3 linked regions of the Oryza sativa Japonica Group genome follow. The protein of the gene in region 1 interacts with the protein of each later gene in a pairwise test. Links are inferred from orthologs where the notes say so. Each region holds a gene or a part of one and is shown on either strand. Other genes may lie near its edges.

What was found. The genes of interacting proteins can lie anywhere in the genome.
Region 2: the proteins of growth-regulating factor 6 (region 1) and GRF1-interacting factor 1 interact in binary tests that used the Arabidopsis thaliana proteins (3 or more experiments, as listed by UniProt). The link is inferred for Oryza sativa Japonica Group from reciprocal best matches to the Arabidopsis thaliana genes GRF1 and AN3.
Region 3: the proteins of growth-regulating factor 6 (region 1) and GRF1-interacting factor 3 interact in binary tests that used the Arabidopsis thaliana proteins (3 or more experiments, as listed by UniProt). The link is inferred for Oryza sativa Japonica Group from reciprocal best matches to the Arabidopsis thaliana genes GRF1 and GIF3.

Annotation. Positions count from the first base shown.
Region 1 is NC_089037.1:30,697,616-30,708,203, forward strand, and holds growth-regulating factor 6, read left to right. Parts: upstream 1-5,643; coding exon 5,644-6,055; intron 6,056-7,079; coding exon 7,080-7,292; intron 7,293-7,438; coding exon 7,439-7,802; intron 7,803-8,215; coding exon 8,216-9,038; 3' UTR 9,039-9,400; downstream 9,401-10,588. UniProt on the Arabidopsis thaliana protein: Transcription activator that plays a role in the regulation of cell expansion in leaf and cotyledons tissues.
Region 2 is NC_089037.1:30,924,235-30,934,797, forward strand, and holds GRF1-interacting factor 1, read right to left. Parts: upstream 6,913-10,563; 5' UTR 6,678-6,912; coding exon 6,588-6,677; intron 5,071-6,587; coding exon 4,994-5,070; intron 4,251-4,993; coding exon 4,166-4,250; intron 4,065-4,165; coding exon 3,633-4,064; 3' UTR 3,196-3,632; downstream 1-3,195. UniProt on the Arabidopsis thaliana protein: Transcription coactivator that plays a role in the regulation of cell expansion in leaf and cotyledons tissues.
Region 3 is NC_089046.1:19,341,652-19,352,239, forward strand, and holds GRF1-interacting factor 3, read right to left. Parts: upstream 6,361-10,588; 5' UTR 6,206-6,360; coding exon 6,131-6,205; intron 4,484-6,130; coding exon 4,407-4,483; intron 2,271-4,406; coding exon 2,186-2,270; intron 2,116-2,185; coding exon 1,795-2,115; 3' UTR 1,473-1,794; downstream 1-1,472. UniProt on the Arabidopsis thaliana protein: Transcription coactivator that plays a role in the regulation of cell expansion in leaf and cotyledons tissues.

The DNA of each region.
Region 1 (10,588 bases):
GAACAGGCCCTACTACGATAATGTTGCTACAATATGCGTGTGCACGTATATGGTGTAAAACGGAGTAACAAGTGCGTGCACGCGCGTGCGACTACTGTTACGGGAGTACACACCGATTTCATGAGACAACGGGCTAGAACGACGACTCGAAGGGGCCGCGTTTCAATTCGTTCGAATTGAAAGTCCCAAGTCGCTTCCAGTAGGTACTACTAGTAGCTCACACAGTAGTCAATAATGCTACTCATGGACCTCACAATGCTTCGATCATTCATTTACTTCGCTGGGGATATTCAAACGCGATTTTGGTTCACATTTTACAAGTTACACTTCACATTTACCAGATGAGGGCTAAATCTAGCTAGCACTTGTGTAACGCTAGCTAGCAGCTTTATTTCGTTGGCTTGTGCGTGTGAGAGAGAGAGAGAGAGAGGAGAGAGAGAGTAAAAGAAATGCAGAGAGTAGATGGATTGGCTTTAATCGTTTGTGTGCGCAGAGGACGACAATGTTTGATTACTCCCTCTAAAACTATGTGTAGTAAAGGTTAGAAAAATATAAATCTAGAAGGTAAGAAAAAGGCAGAATAATAATCAAGGAGATTGAACAAACTTTACGATAAAAACGATCGATCAAGTCGATGAAGAAGTGAGACTTTTCGGGGAGGGAGAGAAATGATCGGCCGCTCTGCTGCTTCGATTTGATTGTTACTCGGCACGTTTTCCCCCTAGCTACCATGCATGATCGGAATCATCCGATCGAGAGATTGTGAGAAAGCGATGGAGAGATGTTTGTTCTACACTCGATGGAAGAAAAGCTTCAGGGACCGCAAGAAAAAGCAGGTTTTGGAGCGCATAATTGGCCGGACAGCCAGCCCAAAAGATCAATTAATTAGAGTTTGTCTGTGTATTTTTGCATCATCCATAGCCTTGAAAACAAAGGGGGTTGATCGATCGATGTAGGGGTCCATCCTTGAACACATTTGCTGCTTGATCTTGATAGCTGCGCGTGAGGATGCAACAGTGATATTGCTCTGCTACAGTAAGGGATATCTATCTTTTCCTGTTACTACTACTCCTACCTTTTTTCGAGCTTTTCTTTGATCGATGAAACGTGTTGCAGGAAGGAAACCTGGTCTCTCATGCATGCATGAGTAGCTAGTGGAGTAATTGACCATTGACACGCCCAAATGATGTTTGACTAGAGATTAAATTAACTAGTGAAAGAGGAGGGTGATGCATGGACCGTTTTTATATGGGTGGCCAAATGTCAACGTATATAGGACTTGCGAGCTGATGCTTTTGTTGATGTCAACATACAGAGAACTTTCTTAAATATGGCAGGTACGTATAAGTATAATTAACTCCAATTGATGAAATATTTTATAGCACTTATTTTGTTGATGTAAATGAGAGAGGAAAGAGACATAGGAGCTGGTCTCGGCCCTCTTATTTAATTATCTGCTTAATGAATTAATGGATTATTAATAGGCACACTTTTCAAACTCATAAACAATATTTTTTTAAAAAGATTATGGATATGATTTTTTGAAAAATTTTATTTTTTATTTATTTGTACTCTCAAATTTATTATCACACATCATTCATTTATTCAGCCATTGAAAAAGAACACCTCATGTGAAGAATAAAAAATAAATGTAATATTAATTAAATACCATCATATCTCTCTTGTATTTGTATATAATATAAATTCTAACAGTAGCCATCTCAACCATTTTACTTGCCTTAAAAAATGCATAGGGAATATCCAGTGTTAACCATCAAATACGTAAAAGCATGTGAAATTCCTGGTCATCTAAATTTTATCCTTTTCCTCTCCTAAGTAAAGTTGAGTTTGGACTTGAGATGTAGTCGTAGCGTGGTAGTGTAGTTTATGGTTATACCAATCACTTAGTAATTTTATCATGGATTTGGAAAACTTTTAGGTCTGGTTTTATTTGTTTTATTTGTTTGATATTTTTAATATATATTATCTCCTCTAATTGTACAATAAGGATCTTTCAGGCCAAGTAATTAGCCTTTTGTGAAGACCATAATGCAAACCTATTCCAGATTTGTACCACAAACAACTTGGGACCATTTTATTCCCTCCTACAAAGCCTACCTAATTAATCTATGCGTAACCTTAAAGTTAACTCTAAACAAGTACAATGCCACCCATATATACATGGATCGATCGATCTCATTGCTAATATAAGCTAATAAGCATTATGAGAGGCCCCCCCTAGCTTGCTAGAATCTTACCATTTCTTTGACCAAGATCACGACCGCCCAAAAAGAAAGAGCTCCGTGACAAAGCTCGATTAGGCAGAGGTTAATTAACTATAGCTATACTTATACATTTTTTTCGCTATTAAGAAACTAAGCCGCTCGTGATGGCTTGGGGGAAGGCACGTGAGGGAGCCGTGCTCTTGGACCACGCATATTGCTACTTGATGGTTTTGTAATGCCCTAAGTACATCGAGGAGGGCTAAACAAATGGGCAGTAGTAAATTAATTTGGATGGGAAAGGGGGACATTTCAAACAACTGGCATATGTTTGCACGAGTATTTATTTTGGAAGATAGTGCCATTGTGTACGTTTTTAATGCCAAGGGTGACGATTATGTCATGCTACTGGTTTTTTAATTCCATCTGATGTTTTACCTCACGGTAATAATATAGCATAGTACTTTTACTCCATATATATTATATACTCTTATCAATAATACATCATCTCTTTTAAAATATAAACATTTTTAAGTGCTTATTCACCTATTCTCCATCATAATCAATCGTAACTATCTTTTATTTAGTTTTTTATCTAGTTTTATTTAACCAATCATAATTGTTTGTCACCTCAAACTTATCGAAAAATGGTTATGGAGTATGTATTGTGTTAGGGGTAAAAATAACGGAGAGTAAAAAGACAAAAAAAAATCGAAATGCCTTGGGAAAAAAATAACAATATTATCCCATCATTGTAGAATGATAGAGGCAGTAACTCTCGTGCGATGAGAGTGAATATATCTGCAGTAGAAATGGGCGTTAGGTAGCCCGCCAAACACAGCGGGATTACCGTTAATTGAGCTGATCTAGCACGGTTTACCCCTACTGTTTGGGTGAACATTCTCTCTCGCGTGCAGCTTGCAGCGAGCGAACGGAGGTGATATGGTGATATACAAAAGCTCTTCTTTTTACGGCCTTGATTTACCGAGTCTTTACTGAGTCCGGGCAAAAGAAGGCAAAGATCGAGAGGTTGGAGAAATTGAGAACGCACGCAACGTACCGGAGGCGAAAAGCGGACAGCGTACGGGCGTGGAAACCGTTCGGTGTTCCGATCGGGTCCCTGCAGGTCCATCCCTGTCACACCTTGGCGCCCGGCAAGCTAGGTTCTGTAAATTAAGGGCAGTTTTTAACAACGGCCACTTCTACTTAAAATCTTCATCAAGAAAGATGGTTCAGATTCAAACTTAGATTGAAATCAACTATAGTCGTAAAGGTTAGAAAAATAAATAGTAACCATAAGCTAGAAAACCCAATCTTTATAAATAAATACTGAGGCTGCATTCTTTGCTGAGAGTTTACAACTCCCCACTCTCGCTTTCCACGCATATGTTTTTCAAACTGCTTTCTATATGAAAGTTGCTTAAAAAAATCATATTGATCCATTTTTGAAAAAAATTAGCTATTAATTAATCACACATTAATGCAAACATCGTTTTGCATGCCGGGGAGGAGGGGTTCCTAACCCTTTCTCCCGAACACAGCCTAATTGTTTCTTAAAATTTTAAGCTCATGACCTAAATATAGGAGTTTAGAAATATGGGCTCTGGCGGTAAAGCTGCAGTTGAAATATATGACGCAACTTTATATATATATATATATATATATATATATATATATATATATATATATATATATATATATATATATATATATATATATATATATATATATATATATATATTACAAGTTTTTATATGGTGAAAAATAGACAGCTATAAATAATTTTAAAAATTAAGTTTTAAAATTTAACTTTTTAGCTATACGGTTCAGACATCAACCAGCTGAGCTGCCTCGTGATTTCCTTTCCTTTTCTTTTTCTTTTTCTTGAAAACATACTAATTCCACTACACCGCACTATTTTGTCAAACCCTTCGTCATAGAGCATTTAGGTCTTTTTCGGAACGCAGAAATTTTAGAGGTTTTTTTTAACATAAAACAGTTTAACTCCTCCAAGATTCCCGTGCAAAATCTTCCAAACTGAATGGCCCTTCAAGTTATATATTTCCTCTAAACTGCACATTAACCTTGTTTGAGATCCAGGACTCGTCCGCTTTGCTCGTGTGGTCTAGCGTGCTAATCTTCAACCATGATTGATACTCCTGCGATCTTAGCCTACGGTATTTCAGGTGCATGTGCGCAACAAATATATATACACAGATATGGACCGATCGATCCATGCATACGTGCGTCTCGCGTGGCTGCGATTCCATGGCCTAATATCTTAATTAGCGCAGGAAGATAGTACTACTACTTACTTACCAGCTAATTGCCTAATTTCCACGCCCAGTGAGCGGCTGGAGCTAAGCACGCAGCTAGTAGCTAACAAACTCATATATCAATCAAAACTGAATCTAACACAAATATACACTAACATATACTCCATAGTGCAATGATAAGAGATGTGTGATTCTAACTCCAAGGTACCATACCGTTCCCAATACATTCACATTTTCTTCTTAATTTTTTTTAGAGACGTCTCTTTCTCCAAATTTCATTTTCTAAAACTGAATCTAACACCAATTATAAGCTCTAGATAAGTGATATGAAGCTATCGGCATATCACACAGTGTCACTATGCTACGTACCTGCCGTTCAATGTGTAGGGAGGAGAACGATCGAACCCACCAAATGTTGGTGTTAGTTGCTCTTGTTGCTATTGTCAACTACCGGTTACATCTATCAGTTCATCTCTTGCACAAACACAACGCTTGTCCTGGTTGATCTATAGGACAAAATGGTGGTTTCGGCTTAGCTATTCCAGTAGTACTTTCTTCTCGGAAAGATAATGTCTTTTGAATCTTCTGGGTAGGAATCATAATCCTTCTTATAAATGTTGTTGAATCTAGTAGCATTTGGAGCAACTTTACAATGCAAAGATACCGGCACCCTACATTAAAGGTAAAAAAAAAAATCCCCCAGACAAATAAATCTTACCAGCTACAGTACCACTTACTACTGCCACAGCTATACAGTAAGATCTCTCCTTACCATCAATTTTGCCGGTGGTTAGAGCAGTAAAATGACTCGGTTAAAAAAAATATGGAGCAGTAGCAGTAAAAATCTTCAAACAAGTTTCCCTTTTTACCCCTGGGTGTTGTACTACTAGTACTTGGGGCTTGTGGCTAGCCTTTGCCCCCAAAAGGAAAACCATCCCGGTTTCCCGAACACGAGCCGCCCGCGACGACGACGCATCCGCCATTCCACCGGCGACGCGACGCGACGCGAGAGCACGCGCGCGCTCGCGCGGCGCGCCACCACAACCCGCACAGCGAGAGAGGGGGGGATGCGGTCGCTTGCTCCGGTAGCTGCGGCTGCGGCGGATGAGCGGGGGAGCAGGAGGGGGCAGTGGTAGGAGGTGGGGATGGACCTGGGTGGCGGGGTGGGGGTGGTGATGGCGGCGGTGGACGGGGGTGGCGGCGGGGAGCTCGGTGGGGGAGGGTTGCTCGGATCTAGGCTGATGAAGCACGGGAGGGGCAATGCGGGGGACCAGGAGCACGAATGGAGGCCGCCGGCGAAGCAGGCGAGGGGCGGGGACGCGTCCTCCGCCGCGGCCGCCGTGGCGGCCGCGGCGGCGGTGTCCGAGGCGGTCAAGGTGGCGGCGCCGTTCCTGCTCGGGGCGTCATGTAGCCCCGGCCATGGCGGGGAGCAGATGCTCAGCTTCTCGTCCTCCGCCTCGTCGTGCTCCTCCGGCGGCGGTGGCGCCGCCGTGGCCGCTGCGGCGGCGGCTGGCGGGGCGATGCCGCTGTACTATGGCACGCCTGCTTCTTGCTCAGGTGAGGATGGTGCAAAAATCTTTTCGTTTCCTTTATTTTTTTCTTCTTTCTGTTCTGCTCGTCTGATTCGATTTGGTGATTGAAAAGCTTTCTGCTCCTTTTCAAGTATTATTGCTGTTTGATTCATCTCTCTTTGTTATAGATTTATTTTCCATTTTTTATGCTACTTCTCTGCCTTTTTATTCGTTGCTATGCATCATGCTTGATCCTTGCTCACACTGGGATGGGATGGAGCTGATTTAGTTTTAGTTTTTGTTTTTTTCCCACTTGGTTCTTTTACTATTGTGGTTTAGATTCGGATTTGCATCTTGTATTTTTTTTGTTTCATATTTCTCATTTTTTTGTCTCCTTTTGACTAGATCACTGACTGCGAATAGCTCACTTCCTCTGAAATAGACCAGTTTATTATCTTTAGCATAGATGAGTGTGAGTATAAACTAGTTCTTGATTTTTTCTTGATACTGGAGTATAAGTTTCCTGTTCTTTTCAGTGACATCCACAAACGCTTTCTTGTCCTCATCGGTGCGGATCGGGCGTATTCTCTTTCGTCATACCTTTTGCCGAAACTAAAGGAGAAAGCACATATATGGATGAGAAAAGTCGTGATCTTTAGCATTATATCACTACTATTTCTACTACGTTTTTCTCACTAGGGAAGAAAGAAAGGTTAAAGTAGGAAAAATAAAAACATGCAAGAAAGGTTTCAAGTAAACAATGCGGCAAACGCGAATCAAGCTTTGCTGCAACGGATCGAACATGTGGTTGGTTGGTGACTTTTTATGCACACGCCACCTACAAATCCGTGCTGCTTCTGATCCTTGCAGCCACTTTGCTTCAGATTTTTGTGTCTTTTGCTTGCCCCTATCTATGTTATATCTTGCACAAGGATCGTGTTTAGGAAACACATGCATCTGGATGGTGGTCGTCGTCTCGTCTTCTATAAAGTACATGTGTGTTTTGGCTGTGCCTTGTTGGCTTGCACTGCCTAGCTTGTTGCTCATCTCCTTGGTGTATCTGGCTGCAGGATTGAGCTCAGTGAGCTTGAGCAGCAGCATGCAGGGTGCAATGGCCAGGGTGAGGGGTCCCTTCACGCCGTCTCAGTGGATCGAGCTGGAGCACCAGGCGCTGATATACAAGTACTTGGCTGCGAATAGCCCTGTACCACACAGCCTCCTCATCCCCATCAGGAGGAGCCTCACATCGCCCTACTCACCTGCCTACTTTGGCTCAAGCACATGTAAGCCAAGAAATGGGAAAGGAAGCAGATCAACCGAATGCTTTCTTGGCTTTAGTTCCTTTCATCATGGACTGATATTTATGATAAAAGCTGTTCCATTCCCTGATCTTGGTTGCATTGCCCTTGGTTGGGTTTTTGCTTTGCAGTGGGATGGGGATCTTTCCAGCTGGGCTACTCCGGCAGCGCGGATCCGGAGCCCGGCCGGTGCCGCCGGACGGACGGCAAGAAATGGCGGTGCTCGAGGGATGCGGTCGCCGACCAGAAGTACTGTGAGCGACACATGAACCGGGGACGCCACCGTTCAAGAAAGCATGTGGAAGGCCAGCCTGGCCATGCCGCGAAAGCGATGCCCGCGGCGGTGGCAGCAGCCGCTGCCTCTGCTACCCAGCCTAGTGCTCCGGCCGCCCACAGTGGCGGAGCTGTTGCTGGCCTCGCTATCAACCATCAGCACCAGCAAATGAAGAACTACGCTGCCAACACTGCCAATCCTTGCTCTCTGCAATATAGCAGGTAGAATGTTGGCAGCACTTTCAAGCTCCAAATATTGCTTTTAGTCAATCATGTAGCCAATGCTTAAGCTCAAGACGTCAAGTTTCGCTTTTGCCATTTTGCATGGATATTCCATTTCCGTACATATTTGCCTGCCGGCATCCACCAAATAATAAAGATAGAAGGTAATTTAGTTACCTAGTTTATTTAGCTACCATGATTGGAGATGAGCCCCAAAGATAAGCTATTAATCATTTACCAGCAATTAAACAAGTCCATTATTTACATTGCTCATCTATGTACTCTGGTAGCCCTAAAGGTACTTGTTTTGTGAGTAGAGTGGCCGTTGAAGAACTGCCATACTAAAGGAACAACTGCTATATGCTGTATTAACTACTTCACTAATGAATCACTTGTTGATCAAACTTCTACAGGGATCTGGCAAACAAGCATAATGAGAGTGAACAAGTGCAAGACTCAGACAGTCTCTCGATGCTGACTTCCATTAGCACGAGAAATACGGGCAGCCTGTTTCCGTTCTCAAAACAACATAATCCTTTTGAAGTGTCCAACTCAAGGCCAGATTTTGGCCTAGTATCACCTGATTCACTGATGAGTTCTCCTCATAGCTCCTTGGAGAACGTCAATTTGCTCACTTCGCAGAGTCTGAATGAACAACAGAGTTCAGTTTCCCTTCAACACTTTGTGGACTGGCCAAGGACACCTGCACAAGGAGCTCTCGCATGGCCTGATGCTGAAGACATGCAAGCTCAGAGAAGCCAGCTCTCAATATCTGCTCCAATGGCGTCTTCTGACCTGTCATCAGCCTCAACATCTCCCATCCATGAGAAGCTGATGTTGTCACCACTTAAACTGAGCCGTGAATATAGTCCTATTGGTCTCGGTTTTGCAGCAAATAGAGATGAGGTTAACCAGGGAGAAGCAAACTGGATGCCTATGTTCCGTGATTCTTTGATGGGCGGACCATTGGGAGAGGTTTTAACCAAGAATAACAACATGGAAGCAAGGAATTGCCTATCGGAGTCTCTGAATCTTTTAAATGATGGCTGGGATTCAAGCTCAGGGTTTGATTCATCCCCAGTTGGTGTTCTGCAGAAGACCACCTTTGGATCAGTATCCAGTAGCACCGGAAGCAGTCCTAGACTGGAGAATCATAGTGTTTATGATGGCAACAGTAACCTGCGGGATGATCTCGGTTCAGTTGTTGTAAATCATCCGAGCATCCGCCTGGTGTGAGCTTCTTGATCAACAAAAAATGCAACAAGATGACAGGCATGAGGAAACGATTCAATCAGTCTTCACCTTGTTACATATCGTTATGACGTCTTCAAGTGTGAGCATTTACCTCGGTGCTTTGTCATTCAGACTAATCTTGTGTTTTTGGTATTTCTGCTCTGTTATTTTTCCTTTGCTTTGTAACCTTCACCTTGGATCTTGACGTGATATGACGTGTGGTATGGATGGATTTGGTACTCCATTGTGGCATATCATCTTAAAATATCCCATGCTGTGACGTCATAATCGCGGATGAATGTAATCCGATCCTTGTCTTGCTTTCTGGTAGTATTCAATGGATTGTTTGTGAGCTGATATAAGTATTCCTCTTGACTTCTTGATGCTTGTTGGTAATTTTAGTTGGTCCATGCGGCATTCGTGTAGTGTTTCACTGGTATTTCGTGTACGGACTGTTCTGTTTGTCTCCCAATTATTGGACCATATATTCGGTGTATACTAGTTTTGCATAGTACTTCTACTTTGTTTGCAGTCACTAAACTAGACAAATGAGAACTATAGTTAGGTCAGTTTGGACGAGGCAATTGGGGTTTTTTTTTTTTTTTGGGGGGGGGGGGGGTCCTTGCGATTAAATCTGTGCAAAATTCTGACCAAATAGTTTAGCATTGCTTTTTGGAGCCTGAGGGCGGTCTTTCTTTTCCCACTATTATTGACAGAGTGGACTAGTGGTCTAATCCAGTTCTGATTGTACTCCCAACCAACAGCCTCACCAGAATACAATGATACAAATTTCAGGACCATTCACCACCAGCCTTTTCTTCCTCTTTTAACAGCTGCCAAGCCCTGCAAAAAGAGACCAGCCTCCCTCTAGCTTGTGTAACTACCCAATGTTCATCACTGCATGCATGCATCCATGGCCAGCCTCTACTCCACCACAGGCAGCAAGCAAGCACTGTGTGGTTTTCTCCCTTTTGATGATTTGCTCTACAGTAGCCTACAGTAGAATGATTCATCATCAGCAGCAATAGCAGCTAGCTAGGCTTGCAGTTGCACTGGTGTGCAAGATGAGAGCCCTGATGCCATTTGCCACCTGCTTTTTATGCACCCAGAAGACTCAAAAGCGATCCATGCATTGCATACCACACACATGGATGGATAGATGATAGTAGTGTTCTTCCTCCAGGAATGGGCTGACCTGGGTGACTCCTTGATTGCTCACCTGCTAGACATGTCAATATTTTTATTTTTTTTTCATTTTCTTGTGCTTATTTTACTTTGTTTCTCATGCCTATTCTGATTATTTGAAGGAGAATGTTCACTGCTGGATGCAAATTACTGGTTTTGTTTGGAGGCACAGAAAGGGAAAATTTTTGACACAGAGGGGTTTCCCCGTTTTTCCTGCCTGCCCGTCACGTGTGCTCGCTAGCTTGTGTTTGGACAAAAGTCGCGCGCGTGCAATACATTACTGAAAAGCAATGCACTCGTGTGTACTAGCAGTACAGGTAAAGAATGCTTCCGTGTTTATACTATCCGAATGTTTTCGTACTTGCCCC
Region 2 (10,563 bases), about 230 kb from region 1:
TATCTTCTCACTCCTCAGTAAAAATGCTTAAAGTACACAATTTAAATTAAATTTTATTTGCCACCGAAAGTGCAAACTTCATGAGCAGAACCATGTGCTACGTTGTTTTCCCGACAAATTTCAAGAAAAGAAGGGGTATCACATGCAAATTTAATTGGACCAGAATGACTCGTGCAAACTTAGTTGGTAACTTTACTCCCTACTAGGAGTGATTTCAGCAACTCCAGATAAGTTTAAGAGTCATATCTTCCTTATTATCCTCATGCAATGCAAGCCAACCCATTCTTGTTCTTCGTAGGCACGAACTCAAAATAATCGGTGAGAAGGAAGTAATTAACAACCTATGTATTGCTTGAGTTGGCGGGACACAGTTACACAGGACTTGAAAATCAAGCTCACCTAGTTAGCTAAACAGCGGCAAGAGGCTAGTTTAAGATGCTAAGCTAGTACTATAAAGTTGCAAGAACCTATCTGAAGAGGTAGCTAGTGGTAGAGCTTTCTTTGGACAAAGAAAGATAAATTTCTCCGCACGACTACACAAAGCACATATTCAGATTCAATTATCTAAGCGCACCAAGTCCAACATCACATATCTCCCCCAAAACGAACGAATCAAAAGTTGCCCTCTCTCCGGATCTCCCATCCCCCCCCCCCCCCTACGGTGAAATTCATGCGCAAAAACTCGACATCTCAGCGAGCTCCGACGATTTCCAGGCAGGCCGCGCTTCCCCCCGACAAAGAATCCCTAACCCAACAACAACAACAATGTAGCCAGCACAGCAGCAAGCAGCAGTGGATTCGCGAGGAGAAATCGGTGACAAATTGGGCCTGGATAACGGGCCTCCCTCCCAAATCCCGATCAAAAAAAAGAAGAAGAACCGCACGAAAAGCTCCAAGCACGCGCAGATCTGGAAACGGAATTCAAACCCCCCACCCCCCGACCACGAGACCTCGCGAGGCAGGAAGAAGAGAAGAGATGGAGAGAGGAGCTTACACGAGGAGGAGGAGGAGGAGGAGGAGGAGGAGAGGGATGGTGGTGGCAGATCCGCGCGCGGGCGGGGCTCGCTCGCTAGGGCTCGGCCCAAGAAGCTCCAAGGCCGGGGCGAGCGGCGAAGCAGATCTGGTAGTAGGTGCAGGGGAGAGGAGGACGAGATGGGGGGAAGAAAATTTGCCTCGTTTGGGTGCGGGTTTTCCGGTGGATCGGGTGGGCTGCCGAATCCGCGGCGTGTGGGCGAATCGATAGGGGGGTGTGGGTGGGCCAGCGGAGGAGGACGATTTGTTTTAGTTTTTGCTTTTGTTTTGGTTTGCTGCTGCTGACAATTACCCGAGGAGGGCTCGTTTTTTTTCCTTTTCGTTTTCTTCGGCGCTTGTGGACTCGACGACTACCGGTGCGGCCGGCACGGGCGTGCGGCCCACACACGACATGCCGGCGCGGCGCCCCGTTTGTTTTCGTCTTCGGCTCGTTGGATCTGCCGCGTTCGTGACGAACGACTGCCTCTCCTCCCGTTATCACGCCCAAAAACCCATTTGGCGGATTGGGCTTTTTGTTTGGGCAGCACGAGCGCAGCCGCGTAACCAAATGTCGCAGCGATTATCGATTGCATTTGCATATGTGAGGCCTGCAATGATACATGATTTTGCTGGACTGTCAAACCGACGGTGCAAACCTTTTTTTTTTCCCTTTTTGATGAAACATCGTTTTTTCTTGATACTACCAGAGATTTCATCTTCCTGATGAACGACTATGCTGCATCAATGGACTGATTTTTATTCGGTCAACTGCCATGAACCATTGGATGCCCCATCCACCATTTGATGGCCTTCTTCCGCAGCGGAGGGCACGAGCGATATCTAAATTTGTGCAGGTGTATCATCTATGTCACTAAACTCTCAAAATGTATTTTCGAATCCATGATGCCGGACAATGATAGTAAGAAAAAAATTTTAGCCCGAGCAAACTTCAGTATAACTAGTATTTACTATAGAAATTTCATCATCAATTTACTTATCAATATTAAAATTTAATGGTGTTCTCGCCAGTGATCCCCGGTGGCCGTCCGGGCTAGCTGGGCGGTGACTCCACCATTGATGCTAGAGCAAGGTATTGCATATGAAAGATTGCGGCCACCATAAATAAAGCAATTATGCCTTCCAAAATATATGGGGCATTTTGTATTATTCTAACAATTGATCTCTTCTTTTTTTTAGTAAAATATTCTCCTCTCATTTTTATCACATACTTCTGAAATTATTTATACAGTGGATAGTAGTGATGTTATTTTCCTACTCCTATTTTCTTTTCAAATTTAGAGGATACATGCATGAGTTAGAAAATACTATCGTTTGTAACAATGAATGTGAGGCCCGGGCCCACATATCCATCACACATGCAATGCACTACTACATATTAGAATTTTTCATTCGACCGAAATCAATTTTTGCATGCAGAAGGATGACCCGCATGCATCCAAAGGTCAGTAAAAATAGGATTTTTTTTTTCATGCGGCCAGCGCATGTGAAAATCCGGGCGCTTAAGCGGACCACATGCGAAAAAGAAAAAAATCACGAAAAAAAATAAAATTTCAGAAAATTGAAAACTACACTGAAACCCTGACCCTAATTAAAATCCTCTCGTCGCTGTCGCCGTCGTTGTCCTCGACCTCCCGTCGCCACCACCATCGTCCTCATCCTCCAGCCATCGCCGCCGTCGTTGGCGTCATCCTCCCGTCGCCGCCGCCGTTGACGTCGTTCTCCTCCCGTCGTCACCGCCAGTGATCCATGCAGCAGAGGCTATTGTCGAGAGTAGAGAGCACCGTAGTGGGGCTCTGGAAGTATTGGGCACGGGCAGGTGGTCATGCATGTTCTTGCTTCGCTTGAACCCAACCCGACCCACGCGGCACCACTATCTCTGTTTCAACCCCTCTCCTCTTCCTCCACTCCGACGAGTCCTCCGCCCAGCCATCTTAACCTGTGTCCTGTCGCCAGATGGCCCAGATGAACTACTCCCCTCGTCTAGTCTTCTTTTGCCCTTGCCATCAAACACTACACGTACGTCGTTCTCTCTTGACTCACTCACTTCGGAGCCATTGCCTCGCTCGCTCCATCTCGCTCACGGCACACAGCTAAATGTTGCAACTCACCTAGTACCGAGTACTAATGTGTATAGATCAGTTAATGCAATGCAAGAGCTCAGTTGATGCAAGGCAACGCAGCAAAAGCACTGCTGTATAGATCAGTTGATTCAGCACAACATCGGATGTCCCCAAAGAGATCGCATTCAGCAGCACGGGGAGATTTCGCAAACCAACCAACCCATCCATTGCAGTGCAGCAACACACACATATATTCCCTTACTAATAACACATCTTAATTAGACGAACCTGCCAATCCGTTTTCCAAAACAAGTGAGACTTCTGCATGATACCAAATGCAACATGCATCAGGCCACCACCACCACACAGGTTCCATGGATCGACCTACCAAACCTAAACCTTAGCCACCACCGCCACCGACATCGCCGTCACCGTCACCGCCATTGCCGCCGTCTCCTAGCTACTACTGCTACTACCACGGTGCTACCCTCCTCATGGGCTACCTAGCTGCCTAGCTTAGCTATAGCTAAGTTAAACCACCTAGCTGCCTTCCTCCTCGGTGCCCTTGAGGTACTCCCCGTCGCCGCTCTGGGCGCCGGAGTTGGCGCCCCGGACGTCGACGGACAGCGAGGTGGACCCCTCCTTGCCGCCGCCGCCGCCGCCGCGTCCGAAGTCGGAGAACACGCCGGCGTTCATCATGCTGTTACCGGCGCCACCGCCGCCGCCGCCGCCGCCCATGCTGGCCTCGCCGTGGAGGATGCTGAACCCGCTGGTGGTGCCCCCCGAGCCCATGCCCAGCTGCCCGTGCGCCGCCGCCGCCTGCTGCTGCTGCTGCTGCTGGAGCGGCGACAGCGCCGGCTGCGCGTACATCATCGAAGACCTCGCCGCCATCAGCGACTGCGGCGCCATCATCTGCGCCGACTGCTGCGGCATGTACCTCGCCCCGGACTGCATCATCAGGTTCGACGGATACTGCATCCATGCACAATGCAGCCGCCATTGATGACTTCACTCATCCTCAAATCAAACACCAACAAACACGACTCACTGATCATCGCCAGCAGCACAATTACCTGGGACATGGCGGCCGTCTGCGGCGGCTGGCTGTCGGCGATGGCGGCGAGGTACATGAGATTGTGCTGGAGCTTAGCTTGGTTCCTGCAGCGACAGACACGCGAGGATGGTCAGCTTGTGAGCTGCCTGTAGGGCAAATGCAAAACGCCGCGCCGCAAGCGAAAACGTGGGTGGATTGCTCAGTCGATGCAAAGCTCCAAACTGATGTGTTCCCTTCCCGGTACAATCCAAGAAAGATAGCAGCAGCAGTGAACAACAGGAGAGCGTATGCACATGAACATGCATGCAACTCGTATTACTACTACTACGTGACATGATGATGATTGAAAAATGAGGAGGCTTTGGATCGAGTTTGCTTCTGTGCGGTGGCTGGAAAAGATACTGTGGAGGATGGCAGCAAACTGTTCTGTGACATTGACAATACACACAACAGAAATAGTGCACTGAACAAGGAACAGTACTTTTCTAGTACAAGCCACTCACTAATAATTTATTTAACAGGAGGGTGCTAGGTATAGTATTAACCTGCCCATGAGTTAACACTAATTCAACCATCATTGTGGAATCACCTGTAACACCTAATGGAATATTTCACCAAAGAACATTGTACTACTTGATTAGTTGATTTATCCAGAATACTCCTAGTAGATTCTAGTTTCTTGAACCCTGACTGAACAAAAGCTAGACATTCCTTTTGCAGTTAACAAAGCCTAAAGACTATATTACCAAACAAGACATCTCTGATAGAGCAAAAGCTACAGAAAGAACAGCAACTTCAGAGTTTTCACAGCACTCCATGATAACAGGGAGATCAAGATCAAACTCACCGAGCGCACTCTTCCACCTTCCCATTGTTCTGGTTGTCAAGGATGGCCAGGATCAGCTGCTTGTTCTCATCCAGATACTGCACAGTTTCAAGGTTGAATCTTTGCATGTTAATACGTCATTACATTTCAAAGTCTTTATCATCAATACTAACAAAAGATAGTACTGCATGCATGCCTTGAATATATTGCAGTTCATTGCACAAGATTTGGTTGGTACTATCAGTTTATCACCAATGACATATGCATGAATATACTCCTAGCACCAATGAAGTACTAGACTGGAGATTGGCGTCCTGATTCTAGAGCAGAACCACACAAGATCTGATTGCCAGCCTATCATCTCAAACTGAGGACCAATCATGAACTGGCACGATAGCATGCAAGCAGGTTATCAAAGAATAGGCCAAGCAGACCGGGCCCCTGGTTGTTATATCGGCCTTTAGCCATAAAGCTCACATCTTTTAGGGGTCTAACAGTCAAAACTGCAACCTGTGGCATTCTAGTACAGCACAAGCCAACCTACATTCCCAGTTTCTCACCAACATGAACAAGGACCAGATCTTGTATGGTATGTCCTTCTGAAGAAAAAAGAAATATTTTTTAAATCAAAGATTGCAAATTGGATTTCGGATATGGAAAGGAGATATTTATGTAAATCTCACAGCATTTCTTGCTCCCTTTTGTTGGACGATTGCACATGATACATTTACATGGAAAGGGGGCCAAGATTTATTGGTGGTCTGCAATGGCAGATGCAGGGAACAGGTCTGGCATGTTTACTAGTTGCCAAATACGAGTGGTGGGGGAGACACGACCATTGGCACAAGTCACCAACCAAAACAAGCTAAAAATAGGATTTAGATGGAGAGGGGGATAAAGGATATGTAAAAAATCACCGCATCATGTGACTATGTGAGCAGCAAGAGCAAAAGAAAAGAAAAAAAAAGGACCAAATGGACAGCAACAGTTTGAACTGCAGAGGAAATCAGATGTGAGGGACCATGTTTGAAGACATGAGAATACAGGGAGAAGACTAGAGGACGAGAAGATAAATCAACATCATGAATATAAGAGGATCATGCCCTTTCTATTTGACCAAACAAAATAAAGAAAAAAAAGGCTGCCCTAGAACTATTTTTTAAATATGATGGAAAAAACGTGTTGTTCGACAAATCATGTTGGGAATTAACGGAGAAAGCGAAATAGATCAGATGAACAAGATGTAAGAACAGAGAAAAAAAAAAGAAGGGAAACTTTAGTTCATTTCAGATTTTTTTTTGCCAGATGTTTCAATGGATACAAAAGAGGATCAACAACCACGAGCAAACAAGAAAGATAGCATGAGCATAAACGCATAATGAAATAGAAAAGGGGAACACAAGAAAAGATAAAACTTCTTTTTCAGATACTCACAGACCAACCAACGAATCAAGAACGAAGAAAAAAAGAGTTTGATACAAATGATTCAAGAGAAAAAAAAAGAAAGGAAAGAAGAGAGATCACGGAACCAAAAACAAAAAGCAAGAAATGAAAAACAAGAGAGAGACAAACAGACGATAAAATGGGAGAGATTTTGGGGAGAGGGGATCATGACCTGCTGAATGAGATCAGTGGTGACGGTGGTAGGGGAAGCATATCCCCCCATCATGCCCTGGTTCATCTGCATCAGGTGTTGCTGCTGCATTCCAATCAAAAACCTTTATACCCTTCCCCCCTCCTCTACTCCTCACAGCTGCAGCAAACTCCTTCCTTTTCTTTTCTTCCCTCTGCTTCTTCCTCTCTGTCTCTCCACTTCCTCTCCCTCTGCCGGTGAAAAGAGAGAGAGAGGAGCAGGAGAGGTTTCTTTCTGGTTTCTTGGGGGGTTTTGGGCGATGATGAGAGGAGGAGGGTTTTGGTTGGCCGTCTCCTCCTTTCGCTTTGCTCGTTGGTTTTGGAGTGGAGTTCTTTAAAAAGAGGGTGAACCAGTTGCAGAGATTTTCTCTTCAGTTTTTTTTTCTTCAGTTTTGGTGACAAAGTTTAATTTAGTGGATCGTTTTTACCATGCAACTTTTTACCACACCTACCATAAAAGCTCAGTAACTTTCTATACTTGGACACCTGCACATTAAAGAATTGGGACCACCACCACACATAGGGGAAAAAAGATAAAATTAATAAAGCCTGATTCGTATAGGCAGGTTGTCAAAAAAAAATAAAACAAAATTATGGCTGCACGCTCGAAGAGTATTTATGTCTGGGTTGATATGTCATGTTCAGGGTTTAACAATGGTTGTCAACACGGCAATTTTCAAGTTCAGGGACTGCATGATCTGATGAGCTTGTGGGCAGGATAGATTTTTGGAGTACTAAAACAACAGCAGATTCTGTGTCGAAGAACTCGTCGGTCACGAGTACAGAGAAGAATTCCAACAGGAGACGGCGTGGCTTGTTTGTACAGATGTGCTATATATGTAGCCTCCATACGACACATGGAAATACAAAATACAACTGGGAAAAAGAAAAGAAGAACGTTAATTCCATTCTAATCAGAGTTGTTGATGGTGGTAAACACCCAAAGTTATCGCGAAATGGATCCTCCTTATAGAGTCTTGCCTGCAATTCATCAATTTTTTTCCTCGCTGGCTCTCTCCAGAGATAAACTTTTTTTTGAGAGAGAAAATCTCCAGAGATAAACTGGAGTTACATTCTTTAAGATCGTATAAATTGGGCCACATCGATTTCATTTTTATCTTGTTGCAGTTACTTGACCAGGATAAGGATTAACAATTACTTTAACTTTACATTAATAAGCTAATCATGGTCAATATAACTTATACCCTACCGCAAAAGTAGTAGGGCCAAAATTGGCTAATATTTTGGCACTGAAAAAAAAAGGTAAGGTGCAGAAGCAAAACACCCCTAAAAGTTATATTTAACCATTAGACTTAATTTCATAGAGACAACTGCATTTTCAAACGGAGCAAAACTGTTAAAGCATTCACATTACTTTGAAGTGATGAGTAGCTTAGCTCGGACTCGCCATGTCGAAGCTTTGCCTGTAGCTCGGCTACATCCATGTCCCCATGAGACTTTTTCATTGCTTTGAAGAGAGCATGGTTGCCTTTCAAGTTTCAACAGGGCTGAGGCAACTCTTGCTCAGTAGCCAGGACATGGATGGCAGCTGTGTTAGGCTGTGTTCGGAAGTACGTGATACCAACCCACACAGTATACACGGAAAACGGAGCGGTTCATTAGTGCGTGAATTATTAAATATTTGTTTTTTTCAAAAATAGATCAATAATATGATTTTTTAAGTAACTTTCGTATAGAAACTTTTTTTAAAAAAAAAAACACCGTTTAGCAATTTGAAAAGCGTGCACACGAAATACGAGGGAGAGGGTAGTACCAATGAAGGCTCGATATTTGTTGGGCCTCACTTGTCAGTTAGACCCAAGGCCATAGAAGGACACAAGTCTCATTGTGCAATCTAACCATAAGTAGAGTCCACAGAATAAGTTGGCATGAATGGAAAGCAACTAATGTCGAGGATAGGACCTTCACATTGAGGTCGGACTCCTCTCTCCCATGTTGCACAACCTCGTTTCGCCCAAGAATGGGTGTCCCTTATTTTCTCTACGTTCCTTGCTAGGCTACGGCTTACACGTACGTGACGTGAAATCTGTGCTCGACCGAATGACACATACACACATTGTTAAAATTGCGTCCCCAAAACATATTTAATTCCTTGTCCTCCTCCTACCCCATCCCATGAGTCTAAGTGGCATCAACCAAATTGAAAAGAAAGCGGCAACGTGACCAACACGATTGGGAAAGTGATAATGATCACATTAGAGGGGAGAAGAAGGGCATGTTATCATAGACGTTGTTGTGAGGCCCACCATCGTCGGCTACATATTCCCCATGCCGCCATGGAGCTCATTCCTTATCCATATACTACAGACCTTGTCGTGCAGAGTCGATGCCACATAGAAAGGGAAAGGCCTACACATCTGGGGATCTTTGTACCATAGAAGGGAGAAGGGGGGAATTTTATATATATTTCTGAATTTTTTGGGCATTTAGTAAAAAATGTCTACTTTTTTATACAAACTTAGAAAAAAAAACATGAGGACTAGAGTAGAAAATGCTACCCCATCCGTTAAAAAAAATAACCTATGATAAAATGTGACATATCTTAGAACAATAAATATACAAAGTCCAATGAACCTTATGTTGTTTTTTTTTTGGTTTTTTTGAACGGTGAGTGTATGTCCTAGCGGTCTAATTCAATGTATAAAATTCCACAACACGTGGAGGGTAAACTAGTTTCCAAATGGGAGAAACCATATTACACTGGTAATTGGGTTTGCACCGTGAATTTGGCAGGGTCCGGGGCTAACCACAAGGCCTGTCAAGAGGGACGGCACGGCATAACGCATACTACGGCATACCCGTCCCGCGCCGCAAAACCAACCCAACACGGCCCAACCCCAACCCCCAAACCAACCGCCAACTCCAACTCAGCGCCAACACGCTTGGGGAGAGAGAGATTTTCACCTCTTTTTGTCGTACGCGCTCGGTTTTTTCACCGCTAGCCACACCGCCGCTCCGCTACACACCAAAACAACAACTTTTTTTTTTTATTTTTACAGCCAGGCTACATACAGCCTGTGCCCCCGCACGCTGCACGCAGTCACTGCAGACACATGCTGTTGCTGTTGCCATCTCACACGCCCTCTCATGCAATGCAATGCATAGCCAGTGTAGCTGACTGACGACCTGCACGCAGAGCCCAATGGCTGGTGTTGCGTCATCTGACTCAGCGACCTCACCCCAGAGGTTAAAAAGAAAAAAGAAAAATCGCCCTGTCTGACCTGACCTTCTCCTCCCCCAGGCGGTAGTTACCCGCACTTTACTGCGTGCTCTGGGTGTTACGTTTGGTAAAAAAAGTTTTAAGATTCTTCTTGTATTTGGATGGGATAGAGGGAGGCAGCCTCTCCAGATTCACTGTACGTAGTAGATTATGTCCTAGTATACAAGTATTAGGTTGAGTTTTTTTTTTTTGAAGAATGAAGTATACAGGAAGTACGTAGTAATCAGTTAAAACAATTTATTAGAAAATAAAATTTAGTTTGTAGGTAAGACTTTTATATGTTTGTTCGTAGTAATTTAAAAGTTAACATAAAAAATTACATTGAAAATAGCTTAAAATTAACTTTAAAATTAAACTTAAAATTTAAATTTTAGCTTATGTATAATTCAAAGAGTACTATATTACGCCAGCAGGTGGAAAGAAAGGAAGTCAAGGAGAACCCTACAACATGTCACACTCATCTCACTTTTGGCTCCCCGTGAAACACCTGGTTTTGCTATCACGACATGATATCACATTGGTACCAGTGTTTGTGAAATTAATTAAGGAGCAGTTTAAAACCAAATGATATTTATCAAATAGTAATTCATAGTGACAAAATATTCCACGAAGAAATGATGAGTGCGCGTTCAACTGTTCATCTTGTGGGCAAATAAACCAATAAACATTACTCCCTCCATCTTAAAATACAAGCATTTTTAGCATAGTGGTAAGTCAA
Region 3 (10,588 bases), on another chromosome or scaffold:
TATGATGTAGTGTTGTATTGTGTTTTATTTATAAATTTCATTTGAGGTCATATATCAATAAGGTTGTGTTCATTTATTGAGGTTCCCAACGACCACCACATCGTTTCTGCGCGCATGCTTCCCGGACTATTAAATGGGGTATTTTTAAAAAAAAATCTATATAGAAGTTGCTTAGAAAATCATATTAAATCATTTTTAATTTTGTTTAGCTAATACTTAATTAATCATATGTTAATTGGTCGTTTCGTTTTGAATCATGAGGGAGGAATTTCTTTTGGAGAACACAGCCTAAATATATCGGGGAAAAAAAGATGGAAGCCAAACAGATAGAGAGGAAGATATTAGGAAGAAAAAATTGAAAGGTGAGTCGAGGTGCACATATCATAGAAAATAATTTTTTGCTAACATAAAATTTTAAAAGTAATTAAAGACAATGGAATTGCAATGTAGCGTATAGCACGAGCATATTATATTTTAAATCCTCCACTGTATAGTTACTTCTAATACTAAAAGAGTTACTTCTACGATTTGAATAAATTGCATTTAAATATTTGAATATATTTAATATGAAACTCTTTTTGTTATATATTTTGAGTGGAGTATGGCAGTTCAAACAGATATTAAAAATTATACATGTTCTAAAAGATATAAATTGTCAAATGTTTCAATAAAAAATAGAATAGTGTAACCCCCTCATAGCTAATGTTTGATGTTTGGCCTCTGTCCTAATCCTATCTTACTTAATCCTATCTTACTGTAAAGTTATAACCCACTAATTCTAAAGCTCAGCATGCAAACATACCACCTCATTATCCACTAGCAATAATTACATAAAAAATTATACAAGCGTGCAACATCGTCTATAATTGATTGAATTCTACAAATTAACATCCAATCATCTTCCTTCACAATATTTTCACAGTATTTTCAACATATACATATCCGTTATTTTTATAATAATTAACGTATATTCATCCATATAATCAAAGTTCAGGATATCATATTTCATCTACAATCTCATACATAGTATATTAAATTTATTTCTCTTTCTTAATATAGTTTGACAAACCAGTTTTATTTATTGTTAATAACTAATATAATTTTTTACTTTTAACTAAATTTTTTTAAAAAGTTAAAAGTTACTTTAATTTCAGCAAAGCACAGGGAATCATAAATATGTGTGGCCGTACCGCACGCTGTAAAAATACTCTTGCACCAGCATCGCATCCGAAACCGATCGAACGGAGAAAAACGGCATCATATGCGTCTAGACTAAACAGTGCACTAATTAGATTTTACCTTTTAAAATCTTGTGAAAATTTTTTGTCTACATCCATGGGTCGCATGGATATTTGTTAATCCTCTATCTATCTGTACCTTGTACCGTACAATTAACTGTATTGGAGTATAATTATTCCTGTATATGCAATAGCAATTTCCTCCTAATCTCAACCTTCAGCCACAAAACACCAGGTGCTAACGCCGTCTATTCCTCCAGCCGGCAACAAATTCCAGCAGCCAACAGTATCGGACGAGGCCAAGAACCATGATCAGAAGAGGCTACAAGCCTAATTCTGAGTCAAAACCAAAGCACAAATCCTTGCAGCAATCTACGTTTGTACCAGACTGAAAGTCTCAAAAACACAGGTAAATGTAACAACCACTGACCATCATCAGGCGAAGATCACGGCCACTCACCGTTCAAGGGCACAGGAATGATCCCCTCTCCACTCAGTCGTTGCCTACATGTTTTTTTTTTGTTTTTCGTCGCGACCTGAAAGGCCAACTTAGCCCTTAGGATTGATCGCCGAAGTCGCTTCCACCGTCATTTTCGGTGCCGGTGCTCCTGTGGCTCTCGGAAGGCTCCGAGGTGGCCCCGCCAGCGTTCTGGTGATCTGCTCCGCGGTGCATTTCGCCTTGCAGAAGCTGAGGAATGCCATTCACAACGCCAGGCCTCATAACCATCTGACCGCCGAACGAGAGCAGCTGGGCTTGCTGTTGCTGCAGCTGCTGCTCCTGCATCTGCTGGGGCGTTAGAGGGGTCCTGGGGGGGAACATTGGCACCTGCGACATGTATTGCCCCCCTAACCCCGGCGATGCACCATGCGGCACCATCTGTTTGCGGAGATAAAATGAGTATATGCAGAACAAATGATGTTGTGTAGATGTATGGAATATTACGAACCTGGGGACGGCTTATAGTGGTCTGCGGTTGAGTATCAGCAATTGCAGCCAAGTACAAGAGATTCTTCTGAAGCTGCGCTTGATACCTGAAAAATATCATTGGGGATAAAACTACCATCATTAAATGATTTTCTCACCATCTATTCCAGAAGGAAGTCCATAGTCACATTCATATAGGCAAATAGGTTTAGCAATATGAAGAGCATCTTCAGTAAATATATCAAATAAATTCATAACTACATGAAGTGTAAAGGAAAGTAAATTGGATTAATTATCACATATTAACTTATTAAGCCCCGCCTAATAATTCATAAATGGAAACAAGGTGAGCACATATATAAAATAAATTCATTAATACAAGCACTGCAATGGGAACTTGGAAAGTAAATTGGATTAATTATCACATATTACCACCAATACTCCTAAAGAAACACAAATGTGAGGTCGGTAGGTGACTAGTTAGCGACACATTCCATGGGTGCACAGGTGACGTGCATGGTGCATAGGTAATAGCATGCATGCTAATGGCACTAATAGCATACTAAATATTGTTCATGTTATGTTGACAGCAATACTGTTCTTGCCAGTCACAGGGCAAAAGCCAACATGGTTACAATCTAAAGTCAAAGAAAAAAAGAAACGGGTAAGACCAAATAGCTAGGAATCATTTTACACAATTAACTTCATGGAATTAAAATGACAAAATGCATATTGACAGTTCAAAATTGTTAGGTGCTGCACAAAGCATGTATTTCCATGTTCCTAGCAAGATCAAATGTGTTGTTTTCCATTGATGTTTACCAAGGAGAATAATCATCTGCCACATAGAACTAACAGTTAGAGCTATTTCAGAATGTTGCTTTAACTTGAATTTTATTCCGACGGATTATGAAGGGTGATTCGGGCTTTATCATCACGGCATAACATGATAGTTCCCTCCCACTTCCCAGTTGGTTATGGAGATATCAAGTGACACCAGATGAAATAAGATTTCATAAATTTTAACATGATGCTTGCCAGCTTGACACTCAGCCATTGCAAGTGGAAATTCCTAGGTATTTAGCATGCTGGTAATTTGCTTCGTTTGCACCCAAAAAAAAAGCAATTGATCCTTTGGGCAGCAGAAGACACAAGATGCAAATCAAACATGGAATATATTGGCTGAAGAGTGAGGATGTACATATAGTTGCTAATGATGATACATCTTGCATATTCTTTGAAAGATACACGGTCTTCGAATACATGCTTTTATTGCATTGAATATAAAGAACCACTATAGGCAACGCTACATAAACTAGTCATGTGAGAACCAACCAGTTTATATTCGAAATTGTATGCCAATATGTGTTCAGTGTATAGCACTGTAATACTTCGTTCACCGTAGTGCATGGATTGTGTCAAAATCCACACCAGTACACGTCCCGAAGAGTCAGGAGATGAAGGTCTATACTCTATGTAAATCTAAGTAAAATTATCATAAAAAAACCCTGACTTATATAATTAGATACCAAAAAACAGTATTATAGTCAGATAATTAACAATTTAACATATCATCTAAAAGTTTGAAAATAGAAATTTAATCAAACATTATCATTTAAAAAACAGATGTTATCATATTTGCTGTCTACAGTTCATAGAGTGTTCATATGAACTTTGCATATGCCACAATGCCAGGACCCTTCTAGGATTAATTTTGTATAGTGGCTCAAGCCTCAAGATGGTACAAAACAAGAACTCAGCTGCAGTTTATAACTCGTACTGCACAAAAAGCCATACTTGAATGATCCATGTTTTGCTGTTTAGCAATACTGTTTATTCTGTGTTGAACCATCCAAGCATGGTATGCTTTCATCAGTGACAAGAGCTACATAGATCTTCTAAATATTAAACCTAACGGCTGAGAAAGAAACCAGGCCAAAATATCATTGGATATCGCAGCAGTTTTCAGTTGCTTGTTTATTCAATGCATAAACACAAATTTGAAATAACAACAGCAGAGTGGCAATTTCATTGTTATATACGGCAGCACAATAAATGAATAATTGTATACAATTAACTAATGGTGAGGGACTGAGTGTAGATAACAAAAAAGGAAGATATTAATGTTAACGAGAAATTATTCAACAATGCAATTACGAGACTACTAAGCAGGATGAATTAATATTAACACACAAAAAGGATCATGTCATAACGTAAAATCTCATAAAAGACCGTTTACATACTGAGCACATTCTGCCAACTTTCCCAGATTCTGATTTTCCAAAATAGCCAAAATAAGCTGCTTGTTTTCATCCAGATACTGCAAAAATGAATTAAGACTGTAAGGGAAAATGGTTATTTACAACAATGAAACCACAGAATCAGTAAATGCAAATGGGCGAACCATGTGAAATATATAAGGAACAAGATAGTAATTTTAGAAATGCACTATTACAATTTATGCAGTTTGCAGGAAACATAAGGATTAAAGTCAGCACAAGAGATTATTTAGTCATCTGAAAGTCAAGTTACAATGCTAGTAGGTGCAGGGCATTAATCCAAGTATAATAAGGAAAATATCATTCAGACAAGTATGCAAAGTGAAAATGTATGCCAGAATATGACCTGTATAAGCATGAGCACCCTAATAATATGGATTGCAAAGTAAAGTGGTTCAAAAAACGGCCCCAAGCTGCTATTTTATTCATCTTAGCAGAGAGACATTAGTGCGCTATTTTTAGCTTATTCTAGTACAAGAGAGCAAACCATGACCCAATTTAAGCAGAATATGCATCACCAGCCTTAAGAAGAAAAAAGCATGCATGTCTGAATCTAGTGGGAGCACACAATACAAATCTGCCATTTAGACATGAAGACATGAACTGCTAGGTGATCACAGCTATTAGCTCCAAAAGAAAAGAGCAACGCCTGAAAGATTGGAAAATTAACAAACGAGACAGAAATCAACTAACAAAGCGATGAGTTTTTTCTTTAAGAATTTAAGTGAAAGTTGATATTGTTGAAAGTCAGTTAACATAACTTTTTTTTCTCCGTTGTAAGTTTTAAACTACATCTAAAGCCCACAAGGACTGGAGTATACCTGTACTTCAACAAATCCCAATAAACCCAGTCATCCACGAACAGAAACATAACTAAAATCTGCTATAGAATAGCATACTCTACAAAAGAACAGGACAATCGCACTAAGACAAAGAAATGGTTCCATACAAGTGCCAAGTTGATATTAATGCAGGAAAATGTTTCAGGCATAGAATAATACTTTATAGACAATGACTGATGACTGTCATGATGTGAATACTAAAGAACACATAAAAAAACATAAGTTCAGTTCCGGCTGGAGTGGTCATGGATGATGGATAGTTCCATGTCGAGTAGAAATATTGCAATCAATAAACATAAGCTACACAAGCAAAGATTCAAGCCCAATCTAGTCAAAAGTTGTACTCCAGGTGTTCATAACTTAGTTTTTTTTTATCACAAATGATACATCTTCTCCAATAAACCGAGAACAAGTCAGCATATCTCCTATCAAACCAACATCATCACCATATAATTACAGATCACTCTACCGCCCGGATAACCCAAACGAGTCGTTCTTTATCGAGTCAGATGACGAGCACGCCAACCATGCGGTGCTCACAACACCAACTTCAACCAATGCCCGTCAAATACTCTTCAAATCACATCAACTAAGTTGAAACTAATCAAAAAAGCCAGAATCTTTACCAATCCAATATCCCTAAGACCCTAACCCACCCCTAATCGAATCGAACGCTGGCAAACCTAGCACCATTCGAGGAGGCCGGGCAAAAATAAAAAAAGAGATCAAATCTTTTGCCCCCCAAAAAAACCCTCCCAAGAAGCGAGGGCGGCGCACCCGAACCGGGGCCAAGAACCGGAAGAGAAAAGGGGGGGGGGGGGGGGGGGGTGGGCCCAAAGGAGGCACCTTTTGGATCTGCTCGGTGGTGATTCCGGCCGTCGGCGGCGCCTGCGCGGGCATCGGCATCGGCTGCTGCTGCATCGCGTGCGGCTGCGGCGGCTCACGCTTCCACTTCTTCTCCCCCTCTCTGTGGTTTATGGCGTTGGAGAGGAGGAGGAGAGGGGTTTGGACTTTGGAGGGTTTGGGAACAGCAATGGAGCGAACATTCGCTCCCTAGTAATCTCGCGAATGGATCTGGAAGGAGAGGGGTTTGAAGGCTTTCCCTTTTCATCTCCTCCTAGGATTAGGTGCAATTACTAGTATACCCCTCTTGCTCAAAAGATTTTAATAATTACTACTACTCCGTCTCGAAAGGAATCCAATCCTAACAACGAATCTGTGTCTAGATTCGTTGCTAGGATTAAGTTTTTTTTAAGGACGAAGAGGGTATATTATTGATTGATTAATTACGCGTGCAAACCTCTAGCACACAAGTAGACGGAAGTGAGCAATAAATCATATGTGTCCTCGTTAAATTTGTATTGGGCAATATTTTCGTTAATTCGTATTGAAAACGTACATGTGTGTTAATTGTAGTTCTAGTGTGCGAAGGCGTGCATTTATGACTTCAATGCAATGTATTTAGTGCTTTTACTCTCTTGCTCTAAAGTTGGAGTAGGAAAAATTGAAAAAGAACGTGTTTGCTTTCATCTCAATATGTTGTTATTGAGTTCTAATTTCAATCCAATACTATCTCCGTTCTGTTACATATTGTAATTCTTAGGTGTTTTAGTTATGTTCTGAGTCAAAAAAAAATTTCTAGTTTTGACCAACTTTATAGAAAAATATATTAATATCCAGCGCTATCGTTGCCAAGACATAGCATCTTTTTTCCGAACTAACCAGCTATATTAGCAATATGGTCAATTGATTTGTACCCAACACTCCTAATATTTCACTCACCTCGGTTCTGGCAAATCTTGGGGTCGACTTTTGGTTAAATAATCCATGTTGATTCCATGAGCGCTTGAGTGTTGTTTGGTGCACTAAAAACATGAGGTTTGGTTATGGCATGATGATTTTTAAATTTGTTACATGTGAGTTCTAGATAGTAATAGTCTTTTCTTATAGTGCTTCTCTAGTTGAATAGATTGCTTGGATAAGTCTCACCTAGCGAAAAGATGATGGACCTATTGGAGTGACTATAGTTGATGATCCAAACATAATTGGATGGTGGTTCAAACGGAATATTTGTATCCTGGTTTGTCCTTGACCAAGAGCCATAACCATTATGTTAAGGCAAATTTTGTTAATGATGAAAGTTATATAATCTTGTATTCACTTCTATATAAATCATTTCTACCGTTGTTAAGGATAGCACTCTAGTTTGCATTTGGGATTTGCATGATCTTTAGAGTCTATGGACACATCATCATGTTGTTTTAACACGGCTATCAATTATGTCACTAGTTGGTGTAGTCTCTTCTTTTTTCTAAACATCGCAGAGGTTTACATACAAGGTTAATTGAATTTTTCAAACTTCAAGAGTGCAAGTTACAACATAGTAGTCACTCATTATCTTTTAGGAAAATATGGACATAAAGTTCACCGATTACAATTGCGGGTTACACAATAGCACACTTAGATAGCTTTGTAAGTTACATCGTTAGACATAGATATAAAGCTCTCAAGCAATATGTAACCTATATTTGATAAGAGGAGGTAAGAGGAGGATAATAAATTCGACCTTAGATTAAAAAATTGTTGCTAGTAAATTCAATCTCAGACCTCAAAGTTTATTATGTCACATATTTTCAAGTGGAAAAAAGTTGTCAACCATTAAAAAAATAGAGTAAGGGTAGTAGCTTAATAATACCTTCTCACGGGACCCCTCTCCCACTAAAAACAAAAGTAGTGTAGAACCATGCAACATTCCTCATGGCTTCACACATCAAATGGTTTTATTTTGTGTTGAAATAACCAAATGTTATATGGATAAGCAAATTCCAGTGGGACTACCAAGTGTGCTACATGCTCATGTAATTTAACTCGGGTAACATAAACTCTCTCTCAGTCGCGCTTTGTGCAAGCGCTAGCATAACTATATATATGAGTGGGCGATTGATCTTAACAATTACATGGGTGGATCCGTGAGAATACTCCCTTTGTCATCAAATATAAGGATTTTTAGGCTTTTAAACAAATATTAAGGTTGAGTAAAAAAGACTTATATTACTCATTTAGCGAGGGATGGTTGGAGTTGAGACGGTAGTTGAGAGTAGGATGAAAATAAATTTTAATGAGAGGTTAGATTCATGGGGGCAAATAGTACTTTATGAATCCTTGGATAAATTTCAAACACTTGGTATCCTACAGTGTAATTTGAAAACATATGAAATCGCACGTAAACATAGATATATTTTTAAACTCAATATTGAGTCAAGCATATGTAGGACCCAACATCATGTTAATCTTGCCACAAACTGCTTGATTATGGATAATCATAGAGGTTAATAAATACCATATGAATTCAAGGTTGAGGCTTCATTTATTTATTTTTCTTTATTTGATCAGCTGATTAATTAACCAAATATAGTGTTAAAAAATTAGAACAAAGGTGTTCTAGAAGCTTCTTGATTGCTCCAAATGGATTCCACTCTCATAGATCATGAGCCTCTTGATTGGTACAATAGTATATGATCAAAGATGTTTTTTTTACCAGTTACATCCAATGGTCCTTGATATTTTAGATGATGTGGCTCATTCTCCATTGAGATAGCTTGCTGCTTTCACCTATTAAGATTGGTGAAAGTGTGCTATCATAATCTAAAAACAATGCAACTATCTTTCTATGCATGTTGGTTGTGATTTCTCTGAATGATACCAAAGCTGAAGGGTATTCAACATACAATAAAAGGGAATATTTTTAATATAAATGATATGTAAGTCAAGGAATGAATTTCATTTTAAAATGTTTCATTTTATATTCAAATTATCTACCAAACATTTTACAAGACCATATAAGATATATCTTGTGCTTTTGCCATTTATATTGAGCTCCACCTTGCTAGTAATAAATTACTATACCTATTGTTTTTCTATTTAACATGACATGAATGAATGAACAAATAGCCACATTAAAATAACATTATGTTAACAGGGGCATGTGCTCCCATTCTTTTCTCTCCATTAAATATTATTGGGTCATAAGGGGCAATATGCCCCCTCTAATTGGGCCAATAGCAATATGTAACGACTTATCTCGATCCCAAGAGTGAGAAGAAGGAACTCCTTAGCAATATGACGAGGATGTAGACTATCTGACAAGATAGATTTTACAATTTTTATGGAGGTGTTAACTTCTTGTCTTTAATTAATTTGATTTATTTATCTGGGAATATCTTAGGAAAATCATTTTAGAAACTAGAGGGAAAAAGTATGTCTCTATCAATAATTTACGAATGTATTAAAAATTGCAACGGAATTGCATCTAAAATGTCTATGAACTACAAATATTTATGTCAATTTGCAAAGTGTCTCTAGGAAATGCATATGAATTGAACTAATTTTTTTGAGAGCCATTTTGATTATTTGAAATATATATCTATCAAAAATTTCTAAATATTATAGTTGTTGTAGTGTAAATTCAAAAATTATAAAAACAATATGAAAACTATAAATGTTATCTTATCCGAAAATGTTGCAAGAAATACACACAATTTTTTCTAAACTTTCAGAGTCAACCCTTCATGCCATAATCTCTATCACGTGACTCCCAACGTATTAGAGTTCATTTAGTTGCACAAACTCAAAACACCTCAATAGGAAGGACCAAACATGTAAAATCATTCAACCAAATATAATAGCATTTGAGTATAATCGATAATTCATACCTTATTATGGTATCTCCTAGTTATTATTGTAGTTGGAAATAATTTCATAGCATCCCTCACGGCCTCATGCATCTACGGCCTCATGCATCTAATAGATGAAAATTGAGAATAAACAAGTGTTACATGCACCAACACTCATTTGATTTATCTCAGGGGACATGAATGGTATATCCAGATTATTTTATGATTAGCGAAAATGTATCAAATATAAGAGCAATCTTTTTGCTTTGAGCATTGAATTTTATTTCATCAAATGAAGACAAAATAGAAGAACATTGGGCCGATCATAAACAAAAATATGAAAAAATTTATAAATAATTTTATTGCACAACTAAAAGCTAAGGATTTAAGATATGAAATCTACAACTGTTGGAACATAGTAATAAATTATGACAAGATTACCGTGCAAAATAATATGCATAGGCTTATACCACTTTTTCTAGACGACTAACCATAATACTGCGTTAAAAGGGGCATGTGCCCCCCTCTTTCGGATACTAGTAGCATTATATTAAAAGTGGTTAACTTATGCCTATAGATGATTAAGGGTGTGTTTGGTTGGGCTGTGGCTTTTGCAAAAGCAGCTGTGGGC